4 linked regions of the Arabidopsis thaliana genome follow. The protein of the gene in region 1 interacts with the protein of each later gene in a pairwise test. Each region holds a gene or a part of one and is shown in the gene's direction. Other genes may lie near its edges. The genes, in order: AT5G52420, ABCD2, PHT4;1 and MGT9.

The links.
Region 2: the proteins of AT5G52420 (region 1) and ABCD2 interact in a protein complementation assay, tested with the Arabidopsis thaliana proteins (one large-scale study listed by BioGRID).
Region 3: the proteins of AT5G52420 (region 1) and PHT4;1 interact in a protein complementation assay, tested with the Arabidopsis thaliana proteins (one large-scale study listed by BioGRID).
Region 4: the proteins of AT5G52420 (region 1) and MGT9 interact in a protein complementation assay, tested with the Arabidopsis thaliana proteins (one large-scale study listed by BioGRID).

The regions. Positions count from the first base shown.
Region 1 is NC_003076.8:21,279,585-21,283,882, forward strand, and holds AT5G52420 (uncharacterized protein), read left to right. Parts: upstream 1-2,188; 5' UTR 2,189-2,232; coding exon 2,233-2,961; 3' UTR 2,962-3,222; downstream 3,223-4,298. Other genes in the region: AT5G52430 (hydroxyproline-rich glycoprotein family protein), read right to left, coding at 3,509-4,298.
Region 2 is NC_003070.9:20,284,529-20,291,220, forward strand, and holds ABCD2 (ABC transporter family protein), read left to right. Parts: upstream 1-2,327; 5' UTR 2,328-2,388; coding exon 2,389-2,740; intron 2,741-2,825; coding exon 2,826-2,893; intron 2,894-2,969; coding exon 2,970-3,296; intron 3,297-3,390; coding exon 3,391-3,555; intron 3,556-3,639; coding exon 3,640-3,868; intron 3,869-4,004; exon of another isoform or gene 4,005-4,450; coding exon 4,451-4,692; intron 4,693-4,769; coding exon 4,770-5,046; intron 5,047-5,168; coding exon 5,169-5,419; intron 5,420-5,507; coding exon 5,508-5,717; 3' UTR 5,718-5,873; downstream 5,874-6,692. Other genes in the region: ICDH (isocitrate dehydrogenase), read left to right, coding at 56-157, 303-391, 492-595, 699-767, 845-960, 1,129-1,163, 1,269-1,411, 1,670-1,792 and 1 more; TAF6B (TBP-ASSOCIATED FACTOR 6B), read left to right, coding at 6,072-6,191, 6,261-6,508, 6,596-6,692.
Region 3 is NC_003071.7:12,672,078-12,678,358, reverse strand, and holds PHT4;1 (phosphate transporter 4;1), read left to right. Parts: upstream 1-2,281; 5' UTR 2,282-2,355; coding exon 2,356-2,715; exon of another isoform or gene 2,716-2,790; coding exon 2,791-2,898; intron 2,899-3,030; coding exon 3,031-3,186; intron 3,187-3,275; coding exon 3,276-3,491; intron 3,492-3,579; coding exon 3,580-3,789; intron 3,790-3,875; coding exon 3,876-4,013; intron 4,014-4,091; coding exon of another isoform or gene 4,092-4,100; exon of another isoform or gene 4,101-4,110; coding exon 4,111-4,278; intron 4,279-4,367; coding exon 4,368-4,452; intron 4,453-4,576; coding exon 4,577-4,674; 3' UTR 4,675-5,058; downstream 5,059-6,281. Other genes in the region: AT2G29654 (uncharacterized protein), read left to right, coding at 898-1,080; JOSL (JOSEPHIN-like protein), read right to left, coding at 5,059-5,450, 5,997-6,033, 6,138-6,281. UniProt on the Arabidopsis thaliana protein: Specific for inorganic phosphate transport across the thylakoid membrane in a sodium dependent manner. Binds glutamate but cannot transport it. May act as an ascorbate transporter at the thylakoid membrane.
Region 4 is NC_003076.8:25,805,569-25,811,927, reverse strand, and holds MGT9 (magnesium transporter 9), read left to right. Parts: upstream 1-2,216; 5' UTR 2,217-2,403; intron 2,404-2,483; 5' UTR 2,484-2,532; coding exon 2,533-2,778; intron 2,779-2,875; coding exon 2,876-2,905; intron 2,906-3,268; coding exon 3,269-3,425; intron 3,426-3,551; coding exon 3,552-3,673; intron 3,674-3,743; coding exon 3,744-3,818; intron 3,819-3,908; coding exon 3,909-4,136; intron 4,137-4,230; coding exon 4,231-4,275; intron 4,276-4,358; coding exon 4,359-4,403; intron 4,404-4,502; coding exon 4,503-4,532; intron 4,533-4,606; coding exon 4,607-4,726; coding exon of another isoform or gene 4,727-4,765; exon of another isoform or gene 4,766-4,807; intron 4,808-4,816; coding exon 4,817-4,903; 3' UTR 4,904-5,230; downstream 5,231-6,359. Other genes in the region: XYL4 (beta-D-xylosidase 4), read left to right, coding at 1-104, 187-1,043, 1,112-1,701. UniProt on the Arabidopsis thaliana protein: Low-affinity magnesium transporter that mediates the influx of magnesium. Plays a crucial role in male gametophyte development and male fertility.

The DNA.
Region 1 (4,298 bases):
AAATTAGTTACCAAAACCTTGGCAGTAAATTTTTAGTTAGATATGATAAAAGATACTATTGTTTTGATTAAAAAAAGGTAGAGATGATGAGATTTCTATGTTGAATTCAAAACAATAAAATAAATATTAGCTAAGATATCACGAAGTGATAAAGATGAATCTTTGATTAAATCACATTAAAAGTTGAAAAACGATATCATAAGAGATTTTGTGTTCTCTATATGTAACGCTATCTGGCAACATTCTTTCTGCTTTCCAATAAGGTTCATGAAGAATGGGTAACACAATTTCGAATGCAACAACGTTATCATACGGTGAAACGACATGCTCAAATCCAACTTCTACGATTGCGAGCAGTTTCACGGAACATCCTCGCCTTCTTGCTATTCTGTCAAGATTGAGAATCTCGCACAACTTAACAATGAAAAATACCAATCTCGTCGTTTCACGGTAGGCGGGTATTACTGGTATGTAGCTATAATCTTGCTCTTATATATTACCATTTATGTTTTATGAGACATGTAACACATATAGACCATGATTTTACTATGTACACATTAGCTCCTGAAGGGTTAAATTAAATCTTCATCATAAGAAAAGAACATGAATCTTTCTTACTTTATGCAATAATATTTCTGTTAAAAAGAAAACCTGCAGGAAATTGATTATATATCCAAAAGGGAACGACGAGGACCATGGAAGTGGTTATATTTCAATGTACGTAGAAATAGACAGCACATCTGAAGTTTTTGCATATGTCAAGTTCTTCGTCTACAATAAGAAAGAACAAATGTACTTTACTATTCAAAGTTGTTGGTTTAAAACATATCTATATTATTCAATATTTATATTAACTATATAAGACTTGTTCATTTGTCACATATGTCACGTTGAATTACTCCATTTTTTCTAATAGATACTGAAGTAAAGCGTTTCAATGCTTTAAGAATGGTATGGGGATTCTCTCAAATGCTTCCTCTCCACTTATTCGAAAATCCAAAAAATGGATATATATTCGACGGGCAAAAATGCGAGTTTGGTGTTGAAGTGATGGTTGTTCCACCCCTTACCAATTGGGAAGTGATGTCTTTTGATCAGAAACTCTCACCATCCACATTCTCCTGGAGTGCCAATGGTTTCTCCTTATTGACAGAGAATCTTTATGTGTCAAACAACTTTTCAGTTGGAGGAAGAGAATGGTGAGGCTAATAAGTCATTGAATATATATACACGTCTATGTATGCTAAGTGTATACAAAATAATGTGACTTTTCTATAGGTGTTTGAAGATGTATCCAAAGGGAAGAGAGGCAGATGGCAAATGGTTGTCCTTATTTCTGCATATATATAGCTGATAGTGAAACCTTTTCGGAGGATGAGAAGATTTACGTGCATGCAGATCTCCGAGTATTATACCCACGTCCACATGTATACAACAATCACGTCACACAGAAACGTATAATTAACTTTGAAACACAATTTTCTATATTCTTGAATAAATCACTTAGTTGCTTTTTTCAAGTCTTAACTAAATTTTCAATACCTTACATATATTTATTTTTCTTGCAGTTAACGTCTGTTACAAGAAATCAACTCAAGGGTGGGGTTGCGAAGATTTTGCGGCTATAGCCATCGGGAGTGTAATTACTTGGACAATGACACTTTGACATTGGAGGTCGAATTTAAAGTTGTTTCTACAACCAAGTATTCTCACCCATGATCTAAGCTCTTCTTGTAGAATATCTACAATATTCCATATTCTACTACAAGTCTAGTAATCTACAATGCCTTGTTTCATACGATTTCTAGTAATTAGTTCCTTTTTAGTTAAATCAATTCTACAGTTTATGGTTCCGGATTCATTTCCTGCTAACTAATTATATCATTTTTTATAACTAGTAATCATTGAAGCTTATAATTGAAATCTATAACTACAAAGCCTAGTGCACTTACGTCCAGAAAGCCAAAATAATTAGGCTTCCTATTAACACATATATTTATATGTTTCTTAAGAACTTTTACGAAATTACCTGCATGTAGTTAAAATAATAAAATCTAAACTAATTGTGAGCACAACAATAATCCGCCACGTCTTCTAAACCTCTTCCATTCAAAACTCTTCACTATCCGCCACGTGTCCCCTTCTTCACACTCTTTTTATCTTCCTCCACCTCTAAAACTTTCTCACCACATTTTCCCGAGAAAACAAAAAAAAAAAACTTACACCAAAACGATGTCTGGAGGTGTCGGTCCAACGTACAACGACATAACCTTACCCAAAGAAGAAGAAGAAGAACATCAAACCCAATCCACCTCAACAGTATCATCCACCGGAAAACCCGCCGGATTCTTCTCATTCCGACAACTAAACATCCTCGCAATAATCATCGTTCTCTCCGCAAGTGGTCTCGTAACAATCCAAGATTTCATATTCACGATCCTCACTCTCATCTACTTCTTCTTCCTCTCGAAACTTATCTTCCCACCACACAACAATCCAAACCGTGACGCTCCTCTCACAAGCTCCACAAACAAAATCTTCCGTATCTATGTTACAGCGGCGGGGATCGTCGGGCTTATCATTCCGATCTGTTACATCTTCGAAGGAATCGTTGAGGATGATAAGAACGGTGTTAGCGCAGCTGCACCGCACGTGTTTCTTTTAGCGAGTCAGATTTTTATGGAAGGATTAGCGACCATGTTTGGCTTCTCTGCTCCGGCGAGGATTCTTGTTCCGATTGTTTACAACGCCAGGAGGGTTTTGACTCTTGTGGAGTGGATTATGAGTGAGTTCTCGAGGGAGGATGTGACGGGGACGGTTTCTGCGCGGCGGATGTATGCCGGGAAAGTTTTGGCGGCGGCTAATTTAGGGATTTGGTCGTTTAATCTCTTTGGTGTTTTGATTCCGGTTTATCTACCCAGAGCGTTTAAGAGGTATTACGGTTCTGATAAGGAGGATTGAAATCCCGGTTTAGTTCCGGTTCCAATAAGGAGAGTCAAAACCCGGTTTAATTCCTTTGTGGTTCACAGCTCTTGTTGTTTTCCCTTTTTGTTCTGTATATTATTTCGATGTTTTCTTTTGAACAATTCAGTTTATGTAGTAGTTCACAGTTGTATTAGATTTCTTACGATAATAACCGAATCTATGTTTCTGAAAGAACAGAAATGAAAATGTTTTAGTAATGATATAGAATAAGACCATTCACGATCTCAGTTCAAACAATATATTTGTATGAAACAGTAAAACAAGAAATAAACAATTTATATCAATGTAACAAGATTAGATGTAGGAGCTGATCCAAGAATATTCCAAAGTTTCCAACTACATGAGTACAGAAGTTAACTGCAAATCAAAGCTTTAAGCTTATTTATTCAGTGTGTATAAGTTGTTAGAACCCAAATCTCTTACCTTTTTTCACGATCCATGTTCAAGGTTTGTTACTTATAGGGTTTTATATCTCTGTCTTTGGTAATGAGGAAGAAGAAGAAGAGATGTCATTTTAATTTGGTTAGCTGACTCCAGATCGTAACCCCGGGAAGAAACTCCAGCTGTTTCCTGCAACCTTCTCGATATTCTCGTCTTTCGTGTTGTCGAATTTAAATTCTTTGCTAGATCCAATCGATGAGGAACTCAGCTTCTGAATTCTATGCTGTTCGTTCTCTCTGTCTCCTGACCTTTTCTCTATGTTTCTTCTTATGTCTGTTGATGAACTCTCCTCTGTTTCGATCCGGTCATTGTTGTTCATTCTGTCGTGTGATCGATTTAGCTTGCTTGCAAGACAACGTGCAACGTCTTCACCTGTTAACTCAAACGAAACTCTGTGATCTGCTACCATGACTTCAGAGCCATGATCCGAATTTGCCAGTGAAGCGACCTCAGAGATCTGATTTTGAAGAGGCCATGTGGTATTGTTGGGTGTTAAGTTTCCAGATACTATCTCTGGACCATTTGGTGTCAGAGCGCCTGAAGCCAAACCTGAACCATGCCCAACAGGTGTGATCGATCCAGAACCGAACCTCGATCCCCATTTACGAGCTGTAAAGTGCTCAAAACCCAAGAACTTTGGAGGCTCGCCTATTCGAAACTCAACCATGGGTGATTTACCAGGGTAAGGAGAAGATGTACCAGAGTTTGAAATCACTGACCCGGGAGAGATTAGATTACCACCACCAGGACTCCCCGGACACACCTGATTAGACCGAAACTCATAGTGCGAAGACGAAAACTTTTGATTCATCCCACTAGTACTATCCCTCCGAGTTAGCTCCAACGAAGAAGTAAGCAACTGAGCAAAGGGC
Region 2 (6,692 bases), on another chromosome or scaffold:
TTCTGTACCTTTAACATGTAGAGCAAAACAAATCCCTCTGATTTCATTTCCTCAGGATGGACGAAGCCAATCTGTATTGGAAGGCATGCTTTTGGTGATCAGTATAGAGCCACTGATCTCATTGTCAATGAACCAGGAAAACTGAAACTAGTTTTTGGTAATCTCCTCCTCCCGTTCTGGATCTGTCTAACCCTTCAATTAAATTGTTCATTATAGAGAATAATGGGGGATCATTGTCATTGAATTCACCTACCTGTGGAAGTTTATTTATACACGTTAAAAATCATATCTTACATATGCAGAGCCAAGTGGATCTTCTCAGAAAACAGAATTCGAAGTCTTCAATTTCACCGGTGGAGGTGTTGCTTTAGCCATGTATAACACTGATGAGGTAGATATTATTGAAATAGTCCTCTCCTTCATGTCTGCACTATCTGAATACACTTACAGAGTATCTATTGATATGGTGGTCCGATTTCATTTTTGAACAGTCTATTCGTGCATTTGCTGAGTCCTCGATGTACACAGCTTACCAGAAAAAGTGGCCACTTTACCTCTCCACAAAAAACACCATCCTCAAAATATATGATGGAAGGTGTGAATTCACTGGCCTTTATACTTTCTTGTTAGAGTCTCACCGAAATCATTTCACCATCTAGTCATACTGCCCTGATATTACCTTTTCATCTTGTTTTCAGATTCAAGGATATATTCCAAGAAGTTTATGAAGCTAACTGGAGATCCAAGTATGAAGCAGCAGGGATATGGTGAGATGTGCATGTTATTAGCGACATTCTATTACAGTACACCATGCAAACTTGTAAACAAAGTTAATGAAATCCAGGTATGAGCATCGTTTGATAGATGATATGGTTGCATATGCCATGAAAAGTGAAGGGGGTTACGTCTGGGCATGCAAGAATTACGATGGAGATGTACAGAGCGATTTCTTAGCCCAAGGTTTTTCCTCTTAAATTTGAGATCTGTCTAGGGACTGAAACCTTAATTCTGCCAAATGCATTTTGGTCTTGTATCATGGTTCTTTGTTCTTTACTTGTGATCTAAATGGGGACAGAAACTTCAATTTTATTTCTCCTTATGAAACAAAGTTTCTGCTCTCCGCTGCAGGATATGGATCTCTGGGAATGATGACTTCGGTGTTGGTATGAAATGACGCGGGCCTCAGCCAAAGTTTTTGGTCTTTATCATGATAACATGTTTCCTGCGCATCATTATATTTTATGTATTAAATTTGAGATATATTACAGGTTTGTCCAGATGGAAAGACCATTGAAGCAGAAGCAGCTCATGGCACAGTTACACGCCACTACAGAGTTCACCAGAAAGGTGGTGAAACAAGCACCAACAGCATAGCCTCTATTTTTGCTTGGTCCAGAGGCCTTGCCCACAGGTAACGCATTTCCACTGTCTTTAAACATTTTCATACTTGGTAATTCGTGTTGCTACTCTGGAGAAAATCCAGTCCCTTGCTTCAATAATGAGTTAGTCTATCAGGGATTGTTTGTGGTAAGATTTGTCATTACTTGTCTCTTTATAATTGATCACTGAACTATGTGAACCGTTTTACCTTTGGCATAAATTGAGTTTAAAGTCTCTGAAAACTGGTTGAGTTCATCTTAACAAGATGTTTGGTATGTGATGGTACCAGGGCAAAGCTGGACAGCAATGCCGCACTCTTGAGCTATACTGAGAAACTAGAAGCAGCTTGCATGGGGACGGTGGAGTCTGGCAAAATGACCAAGGATCTAGCTCTTCTGATCCACGGAGCCAAGTAAGACTAAAACTTGAGAGAAAGTTGATGAGGTTGATGCACTTAATAAAAAATGTTTAAAGATAAGTTTTTGTCTACTATTTGAACAGGGTTAGGAGGGATCAGTATGTGAATACGGAAGAGTTCATTGATGCGGTGGCATGGGAGTTAAAAAGAAGATTGTTAGGCAACAACTCCAGGTTGTGAGAAGAAAGAATGGAAATCTGAAAAGCAAAGAGTCTCAGCAGCGTGATGTTTGATTTGATGCTCTTTCATAGGTGTAGAACTTAAAGCCTGAAAAGGGGCTATTGCATGAATAAAAGGAGATAGACTAATTGGGTAATTTATTGAGGAACTCAGATTTCCCAAAGCCGAGACTCACTCCTCATTGATTCGTTAAAAATTGAATCTTTTTAGCCCTTCTTTCTCTGTATAATCTCTGTTGTAAAAGCTACCAATCAACAGAAATGGCTACGTTCTCGTTGTCATTATCTTCTCTTTCCCTTTGTATTATTTATCTGGCAAAGAAATGAATGGTTGAGCTTTAGTTATAAGTGTTCCCTCTTGCTCCCTCAAGTTGCTATGGCTATGTGGGATTAGTAAGAAGACGACGGAGGATGATTTTGATGATAACAGCTCCCGTTTGTCCTCCTCACCTTCTCCTACGCCATTCTTCTTTGCTTCGCCATGAATCATCGATCGGAAACTTTCATCGGAAGAAAAATCCACGTTTCAGAACCGTATCATGTTCTTCTTTGTTGCCGCAACCGTCGGTTCGTCCGGATAAGGCATCGGAGTTGAAGACTCTGTGGAAGAAATTCTACAAAGTCGCGTCGCCTTATTGGTTTTCCGAGGACAAAGACCAAGCCAGGCTTCGTCTCGCCGCCGTCTTCGCCCTTACTCTCGCCACCACCGGCATTAGCGTCGGCTTCAATTTCCTCGGCCGTGATTTCTACAATTCTCTCGCCAGTACGAATTCTTCAACTCTCTCTCTCATTTCTCACTTTTCAAAAACAACTTGCTCTGTTGATCCTCTTTTCTCTGTGTTCAATAGACAAAGACCAAGAGCAATTCACCAAGCAGTTGTTCTATTACCTCTGTGCTTTCGCCGGCGGCATTCCGGTGAGTTTTCCTCACGCTCCTCCCTCTGTATCCAATCTCAATGAATGATGTTGTTCACTTTCCCTGGATTTTGCAGTTCTTTGTGCTACGAGATTATACAAAAGAGACTTTATCACTGAGATGGAGATCATGGATGACCAAATATTACCTGCAGCGCTATCTCAAAGATCAAACCTTTTACAAGATCCAGTCTCAGTCTATCATCGACAATCCTGATCAGCGCCTTGTTGACGATTTGAGTTCCTTCACTGGAACTGCCTTGTCTTTCTCTTTGACGCTTGTTAATGCCACCATTGATCTCATCTCTTTTAGCAACATCCTCTTCACCATTTATCCTCCTCTCTTTCTCGTTCTCTTGCTCTACTCCTTTGGCGGTACAGCCATCAGTGTCTTTCTTGGCAAGGTACAACAATGCCTCGTTAAGCAGTGTGATTGTCTCTATTCTGTTCCGCTTCAGATTTTGGCTTTGTTGCATTAACATTCCCTCTTGTGTTCAGGGACTAGTGAATCTCAACTTTCTACAAGAGAAGAAAGAGGCTGACTTTCGTTACAGCCTTGTACGAGTGAGGGAAAATGCTGAATCTATTGCTTTCTATGGAGGCGAACAGAATGAAATGCAGCTTCTGCTTCAGCGTTTCAGAAGCGCTTTTGATAATTTAACTGTAAAATTTCTCGAGCTTTCTTATCCATTTATATATATATCTATAGATTGCACAATAAATTACATTCAATTTTTTCACCTGCAGGAATTGCTGATAGCATCTAGAAACCTAGAATTCTTCACCGATGGATATCGCTACCTCATTCAGATTCTTCCAGTTGCTGTTGTTGCCCCAATGTATTTCTCCGGGAAGATTGAGTTTGGTGTCATTAACCAGTCAGTGTCTGCATTCAATCATATCCTAGGAGACTTCTCGCTCGTTGTCTATCAGTTTCAAGCTATCAGCTCTTTTTCTGCTGTCATTGATCGACTAGGTAGATTAATTATGTATTCTGCACTCTCTTTTAATGTTCTATATATATACTACTTGTTGCTTACAGATCACACAAGACCTTAGATCAATACCGAACAACATTAGACGCAGAATATGCACATCACCATAATTTCTGTTACCTGATGGTGAGAAATAGATATTTTAGTAGTAGGGTTTTGTTTAGAATATCGAAGAGTAGAAGTTGCAGTGTGTCGCTGTAGTTAGTTATTTTCTTGTGTTATAACAGTATAGAGTGTGGTGTATAGTAGGATTTTGATAAGAATATATAGATAATAGTTAGACTGTATAGTAGTAAGATTTTGTTTATAATATCTAAGAGTGAATACCCGGAAAAAAATGCGGGTGTAACCGTTGAGAGTGTGATGGGCAGACAAAAAGATCGAGTCAGCTGTTCACTTTCCTGCTTAAAATTGGGTCTAAATTATGTCTTATGTACAACATATTCACAAAGTTTCATTGTTTCTGCAAATCAACTTCTACGGCTAAATGAAAAACTGCATTTGCTGTAGGTTGGGATTCTCCTTTTACGCATCTAACAATATCAAGACTTCTTCCAACACAGGTGAATTTGATGATCTTTTGGATAACAACATCTTCAGAGATCCATCTGACACTGTGGACGAGATTGAGCTGACATATCAGAGTGAGATGAACTCTTCACTGCTGGACACCAATGGTTCAATCAAGTCCCAACCGAACCAAAAGCGTCTGGAGATCGAGGAGCTTACTCTTCAGACACCAACAAACGGAACCACATTGGTTCACAACTTATCTGCAGATGTATATGACAAGGATCACCTACTGGTTAGTTCACTTTGACTACTTGTGTTTAAAGCATGTGACTGGTAGATTGGAAGTTACTTAAAAATGCCATTTAACAGATAATGGGTCCTAGTGGGAGTGGAAAAACTTCGCTGCTAAGAGCAATGGCTGGTCTTTGGAGGTCAGGGAAAGGAAAAATCACGTTCTACCTCGATCCTGAGGTAGATTTTACACAGGAGAAATCTGATACTCAGGAAAATTCAGGGAAAAGAGGAGACGTATTGTTCCTTCCACAAAGGCCTTATATGGTTCTGGGATCTTTGCGTCAGCAATTGCTTTATCCTACCTGGAGTGCAACTGTGGAGGAGACGACACCTGGTGGCAGTAATATTGACGGTACTCAGTTTAAATTTGTGTCTAGTAACAACCATTTCTTTCAACTCCATTTAAGTTTATGCAAGCAGATTATAGAACCCAAAAGCAAATCGACTGAAGAAAAAATGCGTTGATTTTGTTAGGTTCACCACCTCTGCTGATTAGAGAGGACGGAAATGAAAAGCCGACAACAGATGATCTGATGCGGACTCTAGAGAAGGTTTGTCTTGGACATATAGCGGATCGCTTTGGTGGTCTTGATTCGATACACGAGTGGTCCAGTGTTCTCTCACTTGGTGAGCAGCAGCGCCTTGCCTTTGCACGGTTATTGCTGTCTCAGCCAAAGCTGGCGCTCCTGGATGAATCCACCAGTGCGTTGGATGAAGCTAATGAGGTACTTGTTGGTTCTCCTCTCATCTATCATTTAGAATAATATCATGTACATGTAGCGTTGAGCCATTAAAATTCCTCTTGATGCCCAGGCGTTCCTGTACCAGCAAATCCAGTCGGCTGGCATTACATATATAAGCATTGGCCACCGCCGGACTTTAACGAAATTCCATAACAAGATCTTACAAATCTCAACGGCAGACCCGAAGAGCAATGAACGTAACTGGCGAATAGAGGACGTGGATGCCCAAGATTCTTTGTACGGTAGATTGAATCAAAAGGAGGTGCCAAGTGAAAGCTGATCAAAACCTGATTGATTACATAAGAGACAGAAGCAGCAGGTAAATCTGCAAACGGGTGTCATGAAACATATAAGAAACATGTTTGGTGTCCATTTTGTATATAATCTACCAGACTTGACGTTGACTGAAGATGCAAGTAAATAGAGAGATTGATACAGATACGAGTGCAACGAAGTTCTGATTAAAAATAACACGCGAGATGAGCTAAAAATTCAAAACCGGCTGAGTATTTATCATAAGCCCAATAAATCTAACGATGGGCCCATTTGAGAAAGCCTGATAGAGTGAGAAAATGTAACACGACTGACTCGACTCAGTCGCTCAAAGTCGAAAAAGAAAGAAGGCGCAAGGAGGATGGTGACGAAAGAATCCATTGAAGTGATAGCTCAGAGCATTGGACTCTCCACTCTTTCTCCGGACGTCTCAGCCGCTCTTGCTCCCGATGTCGAGTATCGCGTCCGAGAGGTCATGCAGGTATATCATCAACTTCAACTTTACTTTTGCCCTCTAATCTCCTCTTTAACTTGTCGTCGCAATCTCCAGGAAGCTATCAAATGCATGCGTCATGCTCGACGCACCACTTTAATGGCTCATGATGTCGATTCTGCTCTTCATTTCAGGAATTTGGAGGTTTCCTCTTCCTCTCTTCTTCTTTTATTTCATACCGTTGACCCTGATTTTGACTTTTTTTTGTATAGCCTACCTCTGGCTCCAAAAGTATGCGGTTCAAGAGAGCTCCTGAGAACAGAGATCTATACTTCTTCGATGACAAAGATGTCGAGCTCAAGAATGTAAGCTTCATTGATTGGCCATGAATGAAGAAGATGGTGAAATGTTGTTTATTGTTATTAAGCTTCCCTTCATGGTCTCTTGTGCAGGTTATCGAAGCTCCTCTACCAAATGCACCTCCTGATGCATCTGTTTTCTCATTGGTTGGCAATTGATGGTATTCAACCTTCCATTCCACAGAATTCT
Region 3 (6,281 bases), on another chromosome or scaffold:
ATGTTATGTAATTACATTTAAATTATTGTATACAATGTAAATTATAAAGAAGACAAACTCGAAATTTAGAGGAATCCAAGGCTACACAGAATTATTTTATTGATATGAATATTTGGTTTCACAAATTTTTGTTGCTTAGGATGCGGACGTAGACAGGGGAACACGTGCACATGTCTCATTTCTAATCTCTGCGCCTCATCAGTGCATATGTGTTTACTAATTAGATCCATGCACACATCCATGCATTTGATCATAACAAATTATTAAAAGAAAATAAACAAAGTGATTTTATTTATAAATGTTTCATTCAGTTTAATTAGGCTTTTTATATATACAGAACATGACAAAAAAAAATTAGGTTAAGGTTTCGCTTTCAGGAGAAGAAAAGCGAAATATTCAAGTGGCAGTTGGAGGTGCTAAGTTTTTGATTCGTTTAGTTTAATATGAATGTTAGTATATAAATGTTATCACGTTCATGTTTTCATCACAATCAATCGTGGTTTTGCCTCACCATTTTATTTTTGTTTTGGAAAATGTATATTCTAATTACTCTGAATATAACTACATATTGATGAAAACTCGTCATATTTGACACTGAGATTATATATACCATGGAAATTTTGATTAGTAGAAAAAAGTTGCGCCTATTTAAAATTAATTCGTAGGCTCATATAGGATAACGATTGAAGGTCATAAATCAGATTAATTACTACCACTTGGTTGGATAAATTATTTTCATCACATTGTCGGTAGAGAATATCACATTGTACAAACTAAAAAACGTATTATTTTTTCTCATATAACCAAATCTAGAAAGTGTAATTTGGTTATAGCTTAGATGTCGTTTAGCTAATAAATATAGAAATAAAATAATAGAGAAAGGAGAGTTAGTGATGAATGATTGAAATGGTGAATGATAATTGGAGAAGTGGGCCACGTGAGAGAAGCATGTACTTTTGGAAAGTGGGTCATTTCGAAGCTCTTCCTGTCTCCATCCACATGAAGTTGGCATTCTTGTGTCTTTACGGCCTAAGTTTGCGTTTCTACCTCTTGAGAAATGAATCTTGCCTTCTTGTTTAGTGACTGGTACGGATCTAATAGTAACATGACACCATCTCATATTTCTGAATTGGACGTCTTTGAATTGAATACCATAACCTAGGTTATAGTCTACACCTACAATATTACGTGCCGATAGATCAACATGCATGATCCGTATAGTTTAGTGATCTCGTTACGTCGTTATATCAATTGGTGAAAATCATCAAGTGTTTTTTTAGGAGTGATGAATTACTGGTACATAAATTTTACGTTTCGTTTAGATTTTGGAAGACCTTGACGACACAGTGGTAGATGTTGGTAAATGGATAACGCATGCAACAAAGAAATAACGATACAACAACAATAATGATGACTTAAAAGAAGAATAAAATAAATAAAAGTGGCAGTCATAATTCATAAAAGCCTAAGCTAGGAAATTCTTATGGTAGACCAGAAGGGACACCTTCGATGAGTAAAATCTGCCGCACCACAATCTTACATCATTCTCATCCCCTAAACTTGGACCTCCTCCATTAATAAATAAGAAAGCTGCAAACGTTAATCTTCTAATTGTGATTTTGTTACAAGTTTTATAGATTCTTTGTTCTATCTAGCTACATATATTTCATACATTTCACTAATTTACAAATATGTAAGAATGTAATCAATGTAATCGACTAAGAATACATCAAACATTACCAAATTTGATTGACATTTACCTCTGTCTATTCGTCCTCAACATTATTATCCCATACGTTCATACAAATTGACATTTTACACTTAATTTTGAATATCATGATCAATACTCTCTCGCATGGGATACTTAATCAATTGTTGGATTAAATATTCTTTCGCATCTTTGTGAACGCAATTAGTGGGTGGTTTGGGTTCCACCTTTGGATCCTGCCTTTATTCCACATAAAGTAGATCACTGGTCATACTCATATCCTTACGGACAATAAACTATTGTTATTGGTATTGCCGTATTATTGTAATTCTATTCATAGGTCTACTTCCAAATCTTTGAGATTTTTTTTTCATTGGGGAAGTAAGATAGATCTCGCAATTTATGCTCGTAAGCTAACATTATTTGGGCCTTATATGGGCTTTATGTTAAACTGATAGTTAATAATGGACCTCCAATAGTTATTCTGTTAACCGTTACTTCCCGTTAGATTATGACATCCTCACTCAACCAATACTTAAACGCCACATGTCGTCACATCAGCCACGACCTTAAAAAAAAATCAATTCCTCTCTCTTAAAACAAAGAAGAAAAAAACAGAGAAGAAGAAGAAAAAATCTATCTCCGCCATGAACGCGAGAGCTCTTCTTTGCTCTTCAAATATTCACTCTCTCTACACTTCAAATCGTCCACCTGAAAAAACCTCTTCTTCTCGCAGCCTCCGTAATCTCAAACCATCTCCAAAGTCGTTACGGGTATGGATCTACCCGCGAAATAGGTCCAGTGTTTTCCGGGTATTAGTTCGGAGCTCCGACAAGAGTGAAAGCAGTAATTCGTATTACGTAGAAGGAGATAAAGTAAGTGGAAACAATGACGTCGTTTCTGATTCGCCTAGCTCTATCGTCCTCCCATGGTGGGAAGAGTTTCCGAAGCGGTGGGTGATTGTGTTACTCTGTTTCTCAGCTTTTCTTCTCTGCAATATGGACAGAGTAAGTAGCAAAAAAGATTGGATTTTTATGGATTGGGAAGAGTTATTCAATTTGGGACAGATGATGTTTTAACAGGTGAATATGAGTATAGCTATACTTCCGATGTCAGCTGAGTATGGTTGGAATCCAGCAACAGTTGGTCTGATTCAGTCTTCTTTCTTCTGGGGTTACCTTCTTACACAGGTAATCTTTTTTCCCTGATTCCTTAATTAGGGTTTCTATTTTTAGATGATCAATGTTTTTTTAAATGAGTCTCACTAGCTTTCACATTTAAATCAAAAGTGTAGTTGAATCAGTGGTTTGTTGATATTATAGATAGCTGGTGGAATTTGGGCAGACACTGTAGGAGGGAAAAGGGTTCTTGGATTCGGTGTTATTTGGTGGTCAATCGCTACAATTCTCACTCCTGTAGCTGCTAAACTCGGTCTTCCTTACTTGCTCGTTGTTCGTGCTTTCATGGGAGTTGGAGAGGTTTGTGATTACTCTTAGTGATGTTAGATATCAGTCTCGGATTTGTGTGTGTTGATAAGGAGAAGTAAGTTCTCATTTGTGTTCTCCAGGGTGTTGCAATGCCTGCTATGAATAATATATTGTCGAAGTGGGTTCCTGTGCAAGAGAGAAGCAGATCACTCGCGCTTGTTTACAGCGGAATGTACCTTGGATCTGTCACCGGTTTAGCCTTTTCGCCTTTCTTGATTCATCAATTTGGATGGCCTTCTGTGTTTTATTCTTTCGGGTCTCTTGGAACTGTATGGTTGACTCTGTGGCTAACTAAGGTCAGACTTTTTCTACTGTTCTTAACTATTTGTAGATCCCATATCTCATTACCATTGACGATTTGACGTGTGTTGTTACTTGTTATAGGCAGAGAGTTCACCATTAGAAGATCCAACATTGCTCCCTGAAGAAAGAAAGCTAATTGCAGACAACTGTGCTAGCAAAGAGCCAGTGAAGTCGATCCCGTGGAGGCTGATATTGTCGAAACCACCGGTTTGGGCTCTCATCAGTTGCCACTTTTGTCACAACTGGGGAACATTCATTCTCTTAACATGGATGCCAACTTATTACCATCAAGTCCGTTATATTACTGTCTTTTAATCAAGAGGCTTGATGTTTTATTTGTTTTCTTATCATTAATCATATGGACGGTTGTGAGGCAGGTGCTGAAGTTCAACCTTATGGAGTCAGGACTTCTCTCTGTATTTCCATGGATGACAATGGCAATATCTGCAAATGCCGGTGGATGGATTGCCGATACACTTGTCAGCCGAGGTTTCTCTGTCACGAATGTCCGCAAGGTACTTTGTATATCACTTCTTCTGTTCTTCAGTTCCGTTTTGATGCAATCTAGTAAAAGTGATACATTCGATAATCAGTTTCTATGATGAAATTCAGATAATGCAAACAATAGGGTTTCTTGGACCAGCGTTCTTCCTAACACAGCTGAAACACATAGATTCTCCTACAATGGCTGTTTTGTGCATGGCTTGTAGTCAGGGGACTGATGCGTTTTCACAGTCTGGTCTATACTCTAACCATCAAGACATCGCTCCAAGATACTCTGTAAGTTTAGTCAATTACTCCCAAGTCTTAATGAATCATGCTACTCAAAAGAAAATGGATTAGCACATTGATGTTGTTGGTCTTCTCAGGGAGTGTTACTTGGTTTGTCTAATACTGCTGGAGTACTTGCCGGAGTTCTTGGCACAGCTGCGACTGGTCACATACTACAACACGGTCAGTACTCTCAAAACACTTCGTAATTCTGACAATGCTTTGCTTAATCTTTATAAAATCTCTTCTAAGTTTCATTTTTTTTGTGTTTTCTCAATGGAATTAACAATGACATGAAATGCCTCAGGTTCTTGGGATGACGTTTTCACGATTTCGGTCGGTCTTTACCTCGTTGGGACCGTCATTTGGAACCTATTTTCAACCGGAGAGAAGATAATCGATTGATCCATTCCGAGAATAGTAAATAGTTCGGCTCCAAGACCTCTCATCAGGTGCAACTTCACCTCACGCCAGTCTCTGATTATACAAGTATCATTGCAGTCTGAGAGCTAGCCGGAATATTCCTTTTTTGCCAGAAAATTCTTCAGGATCTTTCTGCTCGTTGATTTAGGCCAAACGCATATGAATAATACTTTGTAGATGAAAGATATACAGATGATTTTTTGTAAATAAACAAAGCTCACACTTTCTCAAGATTACTCAAAATCTCTCTTCAGCTCTATATATATTTGTATCATAAAGATATTACACGCAATTCTCTAATATGCTATTGCGTAGCAAACAAGTGACCAAGAAAGAGTTTTCGAAACTTAAGGTCATAACTAAAACTTAAGATTTACTGCCACAGGTAGAATTTGATCTTGTGAAGGAGGAAGAGGAGTTTATGAATTGTATGCAGTCTTCTATTGCCGCTGATCTGTGATTATTATCATTAACGACAGAGATGACTGAAGGCTGAGATATCCCAGAAGAAGAAGCCTTCTTCAATGGTGGAGATCTCTTCTTCTTCTTCTTCCTCATCACCACCAGACGTAAGCCCATAACGAATTTACAGCTGAGATCTTTGATCAGTCTTGCTGCTGTGCATTCCGTTTTCCTCGGTAGCCTCAAACCACAGCTTGTTGTGCATCCCGGATTCTTATAATATGGTCCCTTGACTGAGGATTGCTTACCAGGAGTTACTGGTCTAGTGTTTGCATTGAACCGTTTTGTTCCTGTAGCTGACATATCAAGAGAGAGTGAGAACAAACTTGAGGAGAGTAAGGGATTATATTTATAGGGATTGATGCTGAACAAGTTGCCTATAAGAGTTCAGGTAGAGACCAGAGAAGCCATGATTCTTAATAATGTATCAATAATGACATGTTAACACTTAAAGCAATGATTACTGTAGACATTCAAAACATATACAAATAAAATATAAGCAGGTAGGTTCAATTTCATACTTACTTTAGATACTTTATGTCAAAAGGATTGTAATAACTAACAGATCTAAAGATATCAGAAACTTAAACGCCGAAATTTGGAAAGCAAAGGCAGCCATAGAGCAAAAGAAAAAGACTGTTTTTAGTTTTTCTACATTTCCATTAGGGAAAGTAAGTATAAGATGGTCCGCAGAGGTAATAAAACCATTTGTTTAAGCGATAAAGGTTCTTTCTTTAAAGCAACCTTTCGGTATTGTTCCTATTTGATGATCACTCAGGTGTGTGCACAGAAGAAATGTGAACAAATTCTTTTGACTCCTGGAGAGGCTGAGATAAACTAACCTTTATATATTGCAGATACCTTACTTGAGACTTGAGGCTACACAAAAGTAGAGAAAAAAAGAGAGAATAAGAAGAACGAAGTCAATGGTGGGCACAAGAATATCAGCAAGGAAATAATAACCAAGCAACTTCATGACATACATAGACATCAAAGTCTAGAGGGTAATTTGTTACATGTGAGAACATTCCATTGAGATCAGACCAATGAGTGATGACTACTCGGTAGTTAGATGCTAATGGAAGTTGATTGGCATTATATGGCAGGTTCCAAATTAATCCAATCAC
Region 4 (6,359 bases), 4.5 Mb from region 1:
GTGGCGAGTGTTATGTGTTCTTACAATCAAGTTAACGGCAAACCGACATGCGCTGATCCAGATCTGCTCTCTGGTGTTATCCGCGGTGAATGGAAATTAAATGGGTAATGATCTGATCTGATCCGATCAGCTAAGTTTAAATCCTTTTCGTGTGTTTTGGTTTTGATTTTGGTTCTATTTTTATAGGTACATTGTTTCAGATTGTGATTCAGTAGATGTCTTGTATAAGAACCAACACTATACAAAGACTCCAGCTGAAGCTGCAGCCATATCTATATTGGCAGGTTTGGATTTAAACTGTGGTTCATTCTTGGGTCAACATACAGAGGAAGCAGTTAAGTCGGGTTTGGTAAACGAGGCAGCTATCGATAAAGCGATTTCGAACAACTTTTTGACCCTTATGCGTTTAGGATTCTTTGATGGAAACCCAAAGAACCAAATCTATGGCGGGTTAGGTCCTACCGACGTTTGCACGTCTGCGAATCAAGAGCTAGCAGCAGATGCAGCAAGACAAGGCATTGTTCTACTCAAGAATACTGGATGCTTACCGCTTTCTCCTAAATCGATCAAAACACTAGCCGTGATTGGACCAAACGCGAATGTCACCAAAACAATGATTGGAAACTACGAAGGCACGCCGTGTAAATACACAACACCACTACAAGGACTAGCCGGGACGGTATCTACAACATATCTACCAGGCTGCTCCAATGTAGCTTGTGCTGTAGCGGATGTAGCCGGCGCCACGAAACTAGCAGCCACTGCAGATGTGTCTGTGCTTGTGATCGGTGCCGATCAATCAATCGAGGCAGAGAGCCGAGACAGAGTCGACCTGCATCTTCCTGGACAGCAACAAGAGCTGGTGATCCAAGTGGCTAAAGCAGCAAAAGGACCGGTCTTGCTCGTCATTATGTCCGGTGGAGGTTTCGATATTACATTCGCTAAGAATGACCCAAAGATCGCCGGAATTTTGTGGGTTGGTTATCCCGGAGAAGCCGGTGGTATCGCCATTGCTGATATCATCTTTGGCCGTTATAATCCAAGTAAGAGACTCTGTTTCAAACCGGTTTTTGTAATTGCAAATTTGAATAAACCGGTTTTGGTTATGTAGGTGGGAAATTACCGATGACGTGGTATCCACAGTCGTATGTAGAGAAAGTTCCGATGACAATAATGAACATGAGACCCGATAAAGCAAGCGGGTATCCGGGTCGGACTTACCGATTCTACACCGGAGAAACAGTATACGCATTCGGAGATGGACTCAGCTACACCAAATTCAGTCACACTTTAGTCAAAGCTCCAAGTCTCGTTTCTCTCGGTCTCGAAGAGAATCACGTTTGCCGATCATCGGAATGTCAATCGCTAGACGCGATCGGACCGCACTGCGAAAACGCTGTCTCCGGCGGTGGATCGGCGTTTGAAGTTCATATCAAGGTACGAAACGGAGGAGATAGAGAAGGGATTCACACGGTGTTTCTATTCACGACGCCGCCGGCGATTCACGGATCGCCGAGGAAGCATTTGGTAGGATTCGAGAAGATTCGATTGGGGAAGAGGGAAGAAGCGGTGGTTAGGTTTAAGGTAGAGATATGTAAAGATCTGAGTGTGGTTGATGAGATTGGGAAGAGGAAGATTGGTTTGGGAAAGCATCTTCTTCATGTCGGAGATTTAAAACATTCCTTAAGCATTAGAATCTGATTCTATATTTTTATTTGAGGAAGAAAAAAAGAATATTAATATGCTTAAGCTTTTGCAAGTTGGAAAAGAAAAGTAATAAAAAAAAGAAATTGTGAATCTCTTTAAAATTATAGCATTAGTAGCCGAAAATGTGGGGCATATATAAACATAATTCGAATATCTAAAATATATCATGTGTAATTCATGTGTAACATAAATCTAGCTAATATCAGTTAGAGTTAGATTTATGTTTGGTATTTCAATTTAAGTAAATTTAGTCTTTTTTTTTTTAATTAGTTGCTCAAACTAATAATTCTGATAACAAGCAGATAAACTCGTAGTATATCCCGATCAAAAATAAATTAATTTTTATTTTCTTAATCTAAACTAAACCGGGTTTTGTGTCGAATTTAGGTGATTCGACTCAAATATGAACAACATTTACCAGAAATCAGGGTTATTATTACCGGTTTATTGCGGTTTACATTTTAAATATAAATAAGATTCACCTCTAACAGAATATATCACGTTTTCCTTTTTTTCTGAAACTGTAAAACTCTCTCACAAAGCAAAAAAACCAAACCTAAACAAAAATCTAGAAAGAAAGATTTCCGAAAATCTTTTTAATGAAAAAAGAGCAGACAGGACGAGAATTCGCTTTTCTGAATCCTTTAGAGTATTGTTTTCTCCGTCGAATTCGCATGAACACTTGAGCTCAACAAGGTCAGATTCTCTTGTTCGCTTTTTTTTTTTTGATGAAGAATTCGACTGTTGTGTTGATGCTGGTGCTCTGAATTTTACAGACGGCGTGGAAGTGGACGGTGAGGTAGTTTTTTTTAGTTTTTGAAAGACATGGCGCAAAACGGGTACTTGGTTCCAGCGGATCCTTCGGCGGTTGTGACGGTGAAGAAGAAAACGCCACAAGCGTCGTGGGCTCTTATTGACGCGACGGGACAGAGTGAGCCACTCGATGTTGATAAGTATGAGATCATGCACCGTGTCCAGATCCACGCTCGCGATCTCCGGATTCTAGACCCCAATTTATCTTACCCTTCCACTATTCTTGGCCGAGAGAGAGCCATTGTTCTCAATTTGGAGGTTTGGTTCTGTTTTTTGGTTCTTCAGGCATTCATTGTTTCTGGGTTTTGTTTTTGTTTCAGAGTGTAATTAGTTTTGTTCCTTCTTCTTTATGCAGCATATCAAGGCTATTATCACTTCCGAAGAGGTTAGTAGTTTACTCTTTGATTCCTTTGCTTACCACACTTAGATTTGTAGGGTTTTTGCAGTAAAAAGTTTCGATTTTTATTTTGTTAGGTAGATTTTTTTCTGAATATGCAGATGTTCATGTTAAAGTTTGATTCTTTCTTGTAGCCAGTTTTTCAAAATGCTGACAATGTGTTAAGGAACTTGAGCAATCACTGAACTAGGCAAAAATTTGGCTAATTTTTCAGTTCTGTTCTTACTATGCTATAGTGTGTTGAAAGTTCATAATATCAGCCAGGCTTTGATCTATTTAGCACTATGGAATGCTTAGAGGAGTATAGCTTTTGAGTTCTCTTCTTGTAGTAATGACTTGGGCTTATTACAGGTTTTGCTTCGGGATCCGTCTGATGAAAATGTTATTCCAGTTGTGGAGGAGCTTCGAAGACGCTTACCTGTTGGAAATGCATCACACAATGGTGGTCAAGGAGACGGGAAAGAGATCGCAGGTGCTCAAAACGACGGTGATACTGGTGACGAAGATGGTATTGTCCCTAGAGACTCTTGGCTCTTTTCCTAAACCATCTAAACTCTGTGAAATTCATCTCCTTTTTGATGACCCTTAATTTGCCTTTTCATATATGTTGAAATGTCTGCTTGTTGCAATATAGAATCCCCATTTGAATTTCGGGCGCTGGAAGTAGCTTTGGAAGCAATCTGTAGCTTCTTAGCTGCAAGGACAGCAGAATTAGAAACAGCTGCTTATCCTGCTTTGGATGAGCTTACCTCAAAGGTAGGTACCTCAATGATTTATTATCACCAGTGATCCAGTTTTCAACTACATTTTTACATTCGTCTTGTAGATTAGTAGCCGTAATTTGGATAGAGTTCGGAAATTGAAGAGTGCCATGACTCGGTTGACAGCTCGGGTTCAAAAGGTGAGCAGGTATCTTTTTCTTATGACTTATGAGTATTTGTAAAGTTTGTAATATGAATAGAGAACTAAGTAGCTTCATCGCCTTTTGCAGGTAAGAGATGAACTCGAACAGTTGCTGGATGATGACGATGATATGGCAGATCTTTACCTTTCAAGGAAACTTTCAAGTGCTTCCTCACCGATTAGTAGTATTGGTGAACCAAATTGGTATACTACTTCCCCAACAATAGGCTCTAAGATTTCAAGAGCAAGTAGAGCGAGTTTAGCCACAGTTCATGGGGATGAGAATGATGTTGAAGAACTTGAAATGTTACTCGAGGTTTGTTGATCCTGCACAAAATCTTTTATCTGATTCTGATCTATCTTCCATTCAAATGCCAAGTCCAAATACACACGTCTTGATATCTTTACAGGCATACTTCATGCAGATCGACAGCACTTTGAACAGATTAACAACAGTTATCCTCTTGCTCCCTTTTCTTTCTGTTCTTTTTTGCAGACTTTTTTTACTTTAAAAACTTAATTTTTGACTCTGATGCAGCTACGTGAGTATATTGATGACACAGAGGACTACATTAACATCCAGGTATCCAAAAACGAAACCTCAAAATTTTTAACATGTTCTTGAAATCTGAATATAAGTCATTATATTAAAAGCTAAAACTCGTCGGTTTTCTATTCACAGCTTGACAATCATCGGAATCAGCTTATTCAGGTACGTGAATGTCGAAAGCCAAAGTTTTTTTAATATGTCATCTTCTTTTGTTGATCATCTTCAAAATCCTGCAGTTGGAGCTAGTGTTAAGTTCTGGAACAGTTTGCTTATCGATGTACTCTCTTGTCGCTGGAATTTTCGGGATGAACATTCCATACACATGGAACGACGGTCATGGATACATGTTCAAATACGTAAGAAACCAGAATTCTATTCGCATGAGGATGAAATAAAGATCTCTCTCAAGATTAACTTATGTTTATCGGGGTTTTTGGTTGTTGCAGGTGGTGGGCTTGACGGGGACACTTTGTGTAGTCGTGTTTGTGATCATAATGTCGTACGCTAGGTACAAAGGACTTGTGGGATCTTGATGGCTGAATTTGGGTTAGATGGAGAGATTGTGAAGGGGCATTGGGCAGATCTTGTTTTCGATTATTATACTTGTGGTCGTTCTGAGTTTTGAACGAGCTTCACAATTATTTTAGTTGTCGCATCATAAAATTTAATCAAACATATTGAAAAAAGCAGAAGCATTGTGACTTGTAATTGCAAAGATAAGCTCTACCATCGATTCCTTACAATTAGAGCATAGAAATCAAATTTAGGATCCTTGATTCCTTATTAGCTAGACAACTTTTCAATAATTATCGGTTGAAGCCCGTTTAGACCCGCGGGCTTAGTGCCTATTTTAATATCGCTAGTTGATGTTATAACGTTTCTATTTGAAGTCTCTTCATGATTTAGGTTTCCATTGTCACACACAAAAATGGTGTGTTTTGGATTCTCTTGTAAGTCTTATCAAAAGAGAAGTTTTTGAGATTACATTGGCAGAGAAGATTGGGCTAGAGTTGGGCCTGTTGATGTTTATTTTGAACAAAGTCAATTTAAAATCCATCCAATAAGGAGCTTTAGAAGAAAATATTTTATAAAATAAAAATGTATGCATGCGAACGAAGAAACAAACTCTGTCCTAAACCCTATGCTGATGAAGTCAAAACCTAAAAACATGATGTAAAATATTGCAACAAGGCTTTCGTGTTTCCACATACACATTTGTTACCAGATATGTTATTAAATGATTAAGAAGGTATAAAATATCGTCGACGTCAGCCGTTTCGCGTGGAGAGTTGAGGCCGAAGCTGACGGAATCGCCGACTAGTAAAGATTCCTTTTATTTTATGCCTTTTTTGTACTTTTTCTTTGATATATAATTCATTTTTATTTAAAATATTATGATAGATTCTTCCACTCTGCAAGGAACCTCATTGGCTGACGTAATAGGATTTGCCTCTTGGAACATCATAAAAATCACAATTTCATTCATTTAAAAGAAAATAGTCGTTCGTCTTTATTGTGGTCCTTTGGCGACAATTTTCATCACACCACGACAAAACAATTGGTATCAAATTATATAAATAAATTGTTCTTACTTCTTCTTCTCCCAGCGCACATCTAACATTTTGTTCCTCTCATTAATCACTTCAATTATTTTCCAACGAAGAAATATTTCATTTACGTACATCAATGATATTATTTGCATTGTTTCATATTTTTGTTTTGTTTTGTGATTGTTTCCTACTATACATATAACATATACAAATTACAATTGATGTTTGAATATGTATGTTGCTTGAGTAGAGGAAATTTGAACGTTTTCGCTTATAGTCTTATAGATCTAGATGTAAGTACAAACATAAAATAAAGAAACAGAATCACAAGTCTTTTATTTCGTTGAAGCTTGATACCACAAGTGCTTCGCATTTGGATAGTGGAATCTGATTAAATTTTTTTAAACAATACTAGGTTTAATGATGCCAGCTAATTCTA